Linked DNA regions of Caenorhabditis elegans. The protein of the gene in region 1 interacts with the protein of each later gene in a pairwise test. Each region holds a gene or a part of one and is shown on either strand. Other genes may lie near its edges.

The links. The genes of interacting proteins can lie anywhere in the genome.
Region 2: the proteins of lpin-1 (region 1) and spin-1 interact in a two-hybrid assay, tested with the Caenorhabditis elegans proteins (one large-scale study listed by BioGRID).

The regions. Positions count from the first base shown.
Region 1 is NC_003283.11:13,651,967-13,655,722, reverse strand, and holds the start of lpin-1 (LNS2/PITP domain-containing protein), read left to right. Parts: upstream 1-1,593; 5' UTR 1,594-1,721; coding exon 1,722-1,794; intron 1,795-1,844; coding exon 1,845-2,253; intron 2,254-2,304; coding exon 2,305-3,081; intron 3,082-3,188; coding exon 3,189-3,398; intron 3,399-3,756.
Region 2 is NC_003283.11:12,113,091-12,116,846, reverse strand, and holds the start of spin-1 (Major facilitator superfamily (MFS) profile domain-containing protein), read right to left. Parts: upstream 1,855-3,756; 5' UTR 1,847-1,854; coding exon 1,615-1,846; intron 1,473-1,614; exon of another isoform or gene 1,294-1,472; intron 1,211-1,293; coding exon 1,008-1,210; intron 957-1,007; coding exon 586-956; intron 539-585; coding exon 322-538; intron 275-321; coding exon 131-274; intron 83-130; coding exon 17-82; intron 1-16.

The sequences.
Region 1 (3,756 bases):
GCGGGATGGGCGTCAAAAACGGAACACCCATTCACTCTCCCTGGCCACACAAACAAGTTCTATCCTCGGCCATTAACTATCATCTGTTCTTTGTGAATACTAATGCAACTGGATTGTACGAGAAAGAATGAAAAAGAGAGAGAGAAACAGACAAGTTAGTTGGTCATCCTTCTCTTCTTTTTTTCCTCCTCCTCCTCCTCCTCCTCCTTCTCCTCCTTCTTTTTCTACTTCTTTCCGATCGTTTGTACTTTTCATCGCCTCTCACTTCTCCTGAGTATTGCAAGTCTCTTGGTTTTTCTCTATTTTCTTTTCTACTCTCATTTGTTCTCTTTTTTCGTGGTGCCCTCTACTCTTTTTCTCTGCACCAATGTGGTGCACTCTCTCTCTTGCTGTTTCCCGCAATAGTGTGAGTGTGCAAGAAGGGTTTCACCCCCTTTTCTCAGCTTTCCAATTTTGGGTGCCCTGAAGTCGTATTTATCATGCTTATAGCATTTTTTGGCAGTTTTTTCCAACTTGAAAAGTTATTGTTGACTCTAAAATCTAGAAAAGAACGAAATGATGTTTTATGAGACGATCAAACACCTAACAGATTGTTTTTTTTTCCATATTTTTATGTTCATTCTAGTGTTTTCTCTAACGAGTTTAGTGCTTATGTTGCGAAATATTTATTTTGGGTGTTTTTTTTTAATTTCAAAGTATTCAGTTTTCCATTCCATTTGCTTTAAAAAAAACATTCGTCGAAAAATATAAATTGAAGTTCGAGTATCGTAAATGGGCATTTTGCATAAAAAATCAAAAAAAGTCTCAAATTCAGAAATACCGCAAAAGAAATCGAAAAAAATTGCGAAAGAATGAAAAATCCAACTTTTAAAAACCAAAATTTTCCTTTTTGGCTAAATTACATGAATTAGTTCGCTCCAAAAAAATTCGCGATTTTTTTCGTTTTTTTTTGTGTAATTGAGACTATTTTGGATATTTTTTGAAGAAAAAAGCCTATTCACACAAAAAGAGACATATATCCCGAATGTCTTTACTATTAAATGAATCAGCGCTGGCCTAGTTTTCACCCACTCAATATCACACCAATTTCGCAACCAAAGAACTTTGCCCTTTCTCGTCCGTTCACCGTTTGTCTCTCTATATCATCTGTGTTTTTCTATTGTTTAACGCTCTTTTTCTCTGCTGCTTCTCGATGCATAGAACTCAATATGTTTGCAATAAAATTCACTTTGTGCAATTTTCATTCAATGTAGACAGCATCTGTCCATCAAGAAAAATATGAGAAGTAGAGCCGGCAGAGCAAAAAGTGAACTTTTACCTCAAGAAATTCGAAAGTTTTTTGAAAATGAGCAGAATTTCGAGCAAACATCATTTTTTGAACATCCTCTGCCATTCAGTTGTTTTTTCAATGATTTTTCCGAGAAGAAACGTGATATTTCTCCGGTTTTTCGCTTTCTTTCTCTCTCTCTTAATCTTATCAGTTTTCTTCTCATCGGTGTGAAACACAGTACGAACTATGTTCTATGAACGAGAGAGGGCACTCCCCGTCATCGTTATCCGTACTGTTTCGTTGAAATAATTATTAATTTACAGATAGGTTCATCGGGTCACTATACGCACGCCTACTCCACGACTATCTTACTCCCATTTCTCAATCAAATAAACATCATATTATCTTTTAAAAGTGACATTCGGATGTGTTAATTGGCACAGGGACGCAAATGGATTACGCATATCGTGTGTTCAAAAATGTCAAATATTTTTACAATTCAATTAATCCTGCCACACTTTCAGGTTTGTATTCCGTGTCACTAGTTACTTTTTTATAATTTAAATTCTTTCAGGAGCAATCGATGTGGTTGTCGTAGAGCAACCAAATGGAGAATACAAATCAACACCATTCCATGTTCGTTTTGGAAAGTATGGAGTCTTCAGTTACAGTGATAAATATGTGGATATCGCTGTCAATGGTGTAGAAATCGATTTGAAAATGAAGTTGGCTGACAGTGGTGTCGCGTTTTTTGTTGAAGAGGCCGACGATCAAGTACCAGACTACCTTCTGACTTCTCCACTGCCCGAGCAAGAGACCCCACAGACTGCAGGACCTGCGGTGGACAAAGTGTTGGCAGAGAGTGCACGAAAGTTGGAAGAAACGCAGAATGAAAATGAAGATGTCGATATGAATGATATTGCGAAAAGCAGATCGTCAAGTCCAGACGGAGGACAAGGAAATGCGAGAGAGCCGAAACAAGAGTGAGTTGATATTAAATAGAAGTTTTGATTATTATATTAATTAAATTTCAGGCAATCACTGAGTCAAGTTCAAAGAAAGCAGACACTTCCATTCTCGTCATCTGTTTTCAGTGATCGTCGCTACCGATCACTCCCAGATCTTACAGTTCTCGCTGCTGAGACCGAGGTGGAGAGAACAGATATCAAGAAGAGTGACGGAAAGAGGACACGGAAGACTCCACGGCCATTTGTCCACTCTCATTCACAGTGCTCTCCAATGGAAAAGAAACATTTTCACAAGTCAAATGATGAGATTCTACGTAGTTTAAGACGGGAAACACACGATATGGATCGTCGGATTCCACTTCGAAAGAAGAGTCGTGTCACATTTAATCAACAAGCAACTCGTCCAATTGACATTAAAATTCAACAATATAATGATTCGGATTCGGAGTTAGATTCTTCTGTAAATTCATCACCATCCCCATCGTTGGTTGATCAAAGAGAGGCTGATCGAATTGCCGATGGTGCTCTTTCCGATTCGGAAGTTGATCGTCAACGGGATCGCAATGCCACACCAGAACCACACGATGTTACTGACTGGAAATGGGGAGAACTTCCGGAGACAAGAGAACAAAATAAAAGAAAAAAACAAGACGAGGATGCTGAAAAGTCGACATCACGATGGAGTAGCTGGTTCTGGAGATCATCGACATCGACTGCCGATGAAGAGCAGAAGGAAAAGGAGAAATTGGAACAAGAAGAGCAGGGAATTTCTCTCGACGAGCTTCTCAATTCTTCATCGAATCCAGTTGAAATTGAGAAATATCTTGGAAAACCGCCGAGTGTGTAAGTGATTTTAAAATTATTTATTTTGATAGACTCTAGTCATCGCATGTTTTGATATAAAATTTTATTTACATTATTGTTATTAGACGTAGCAATAGTAGTTTCAGAACTTCCATCGACAGTGGGCATGTTTCACGTGGTGTTTCCCAGCCATCGTCTCCAATTTCTAATCATGATGACTACACACCAACTACAACACCTCCAAATGATAAGACACCAACAAGAGAAAGTGTTCGATTTGGAGCTGGAAATGATATTCCAAGTTCGACATCTGCCACCAATGGAGTTCGTTCTCGTGCATCTTCCGATGAAATTTTGTGAGTAATTTTATTTTAGAACTTTTTTAAATTAAACCACGCATGTTTTTTTTTCAATTGCATTTCTTCACGTGGTGTCAGATTGTCCCATCTCTGCACACAAAAATGGCGGAAGAATAAGTTCGGTTTTTGTGACGTCACAGCGCATTGTGAATTTTTTTTTCAATTTAGACTTCGATTTTTGTGTCGACGCTAAAATTGAAACGCAGATCTGACGTCACGAAAATTCCTACATATTTTCCCGCGATTTTTGTGTGCAGTGGAGCTATGGGACAACCTGACACCACGTTTTTTTTTTACTTAAACTTCTAAAGATGAGAATTTTCGCCATATTTTACGCGCATGGTCTCGCCACGCG
Region 2 (3,756 bases), 1.5 Mb from region 1:
ATCGAGTGAAACTTACCAGTAACAGATCGACATTTGTAGCCCAGTTAAAACTACTGGCGACAATGCAAATAAATAACATTCCCTAAAAAAAAGCGAATTTGAAATGTTTCATAGTCCAAATTTTACACACCCAAGCAAAATTCATGTTGCTCTCAATGTTTTGAATAGCAAGAATGAGTGTTGGAATGCAAATTGCTGCTCCGATAGCACAGACAAGAGCATCTGCACGAACTGTTTGAATGTGCTTAAAAGGACCAACTCCACGAGACCACATCTAAAAAAAAGATGTATATTTTTCTAATCTTCAACGACAATATTTACATTTGAAACCAATGTACCAATAGCAACACCAAGAACGCCACCAACACAAGTGAGTGCACCGAATACCAAGTTAATGTTTGCTTTCTGATCTTCTGTAATTGTTCCGTTCCTTCTAGCAGAATCTGCATATTGAATTGTAATTGGAGCCCACCAAGCGAGAGTTCCGACCATGAAAACAGTTGCAGTATAACCGAGACTGCTTGTCACATATGTTGCACTGAAATATGAAAGGTTGCTTTTTAAATAAAATTGAAAGAAACTCACTTTGAAAGCAAATCCTTCATATCATCCAAATAACTTGTTGCTTCTGTAGATGCAGCAATTTCTCCCTTTTCACGTTCAGCTTTTCCACGTTCTGGTTCTCTAACAAACACGATAATAAGCAAGAGACAAACGATTCCGAGAACTCCAGTCACTCGTACTCCCCATTGCCAATGTCCTGTCCAACTAGCCACAGCAGATCCAACTACAAATCCCAGACCACATCCAAAGGGAATCGCAAAGTAGAAGACCATAAGCATTCTGGAACGGAGCACTCCAGTGAACATATCAGCAATAACAGTTGGGGAGATAATTGCATAAGATGCTTCTCCGATTCCAACAATTCCGCGGAATAAAAGGAACAACCAGAATTGCTGAAAATGAAGTTGATTGAAGAAATAGTATGATTAGAGTCAAAAACTCACATTAGATGGAATAAAAGTGGAAGCAAACACTGCAGACACCCAAATCGCAATTCCAACAACAAAAATCCATTTTCGATTGTAACGATCTCCTAGGAAACCGCAAATTGGAGAGAAAATAATGAAGAACACCATGAACGTTGTTTGAATCAGTCCAGCCCAAGCATCACTAATATTGTAGTAGGTTTGTACATCATTAAGGACTCCTAAAAATTTTATTGGTTTTTAAATGCTAATTTCCTCTACGAATAATGTTTTTAATGTTTTTTTTGTTGAAAACGTTATATTATTGCAGTAGGAAAAGTTCCACACATACTAATTCAAATTTGACATGCACATATTTTTTAATGCTCCGTTTAGATCAAAAAATGATGTTTGTCCCATAGTTATTGTACTCACCCATTACGTAAATTCTTATCTTCTAATGATGACAAGTTCAAACAAGATACTCTCTCATGTCGTTTTCCGGCCATTTTCATCTTTCTACCTTTTGTTGTTTATAGTTTTGGAGGCTCTACTAAATTTTATTGCACGGAAAACTGTCACATGGTTACATGAATTGTGTTTTGAATATTGTACCAAGGAGGTAAAATAGTTACTGTCAACTAACCTGCAATCGTATACCGATCCATATAATTGAGAAGATTGATGATGAATAAAATGGCAACTACAACAATAGTCCAACATCCTTGAAATTCTGGTTGAGATGCGGTTGTTGCAGTTGAATTTGATCGAATCTTGTCTTCAGGTGAATCCGTTGGAGTTGTATATGGTGGCGGAGGCTCGAAGTTTCTTTGAATATTGGCTCCATCTTCAACTGGTGCCACTTTGTTTCTCACCATCGTTCACTCTTCAAAATGTTAGAACTTAAATATTTTAATTTTCAAACTAAATGAGAGTTCATTGAAACGTTGTTACTTGAACTCGTAATAAATTAAACGTATTAAGAGACACGGAAAAAAAAAATGAAAATTGAAGCATTCGTGAGATGAAATGAACAGAAACAGGAAACTGTCGGATTAAATTATTAATTCATAATAATCGGTTTGATGGTCAGTGTGCATGTCGGTTTTTATCATTAACAAAGACACTGCAAAAAATGGTCTGATTTTTCAGGCTTTTCAGGAACAGAAAGTAGTAACAAAATTAATTAATTTTTACCAAGAGATATATTAATCTGTCATTTTATTTGTTTTCAGTAACACATTTAAAACTCAAACATAAAATACATTCTGAAGTTGTTGTCGGCCAAAATAACAGCCTATATCCAAAACGTTTGAAAACAAAAGAACAACAAAAGCAAGTGGACATTCTTATAGATTTGTTGCTCCATGTATTATGACTCATTGAATTTTTGGAAATCTCAGTGATTCAAACGAAATGCATTTTTAAATAACTTTGAACACGGTTCAAAATGTATTTGCCCTTGAGATTATATGAAATTTCCGGAATAAAGACTATTTCAAAGCCAAAATTCAAATAAATCCAAAAAAGGTTTAAAAGAAGTGTTTTAAAAAACTCATTTTTACCGTTAAGATGTTTTATTCGATACTAAGCAGAAAATAGTTTTATTTCACAAAAATGATCGGCTAGTTTTTGAAAATTGGAAAATAAGTTGGATTGTTCAAACCGTTTTATTATTTTCAGTATTCAAAGAACTTTTAAACGTTATTTTGTACAGTTTACGAGAAATGTAGACTTCGCCAAATAGAAGGGAATACCCCCCAGATAAATGAATCAATGACAATGGATATAACAGTTAGAGTTACAATAAGCGGGTACCCTACAAACTATATCAGTATCAAACCTCCAAATGAAAAAAGAAGGAATGTAGTTCGAAAAGGTCATAGAAACCGTGCAATGATTGTGGGAGAGAAAAAAGGGAGTGCGAAACCATTTTACAGCCACTTCTCCTCTTATCGCATAACGTGCTAAACACGTAGTGAAGCAAAAATGTAAATGTGCGGGAAAACTTGGAAATACATTTTATTTGTACCAGAACAATGTGATGAAAATGATTCACAATGTTCGTCTTGAAAACCTGGAATTCAGAATATAACAATACAAATTAATCGATGAAATTGGAGAAGGAAAGTGTGTCCGTATGTCCTCGAAGGCATCACCGCATGTACTTTCACCGTCAATGTGATGCGACTATTCATTCCATTTTATATATGTACATATAGTCAACTTCCATTTCTCTTTACAAACTTTTCTTCTGCGGTGTGTATTTGTCTTTGGTCGCCGCTTGATAAATTAAGTGACAAGCTCAAAAATTTATATCATTTCGGGAAAACGTAACAAAACCGGTAAAAGGCCACCAAAAACCAAAAAGAACCGGAGAAATGACAGTTTAAAACGAGATGGACAATTGAAGATCTTAATCTTCTAGATATGTGTTTCTACTGTAAAAAATCAGGTTATGCCAATTCCTGCCGATGGGAAAATTTACAAAGGAAACGAATATTAAACCACCTGTAGAAAGAAAAAAGATTGTGGTTTCGACACCATGAAATATTAACAAATAATATTTATGTCTGGCGACCTATAATAATCGAACATTTTAAGAGGAAAACACTCAAACTCAGACCGTCGGTTCACGAGAATGCCTACCTTCCTGGCACGAAGAAAGCGGCAGAAATGAAGCAAGGGGCAAAGAGATGGGTCGATTTTTTTGCTACGAGATATTAAGGAACTGTCTTATCATGAGAATCCATACCGTTCTGTTTTTTTAAATATACGCATTTGAAAA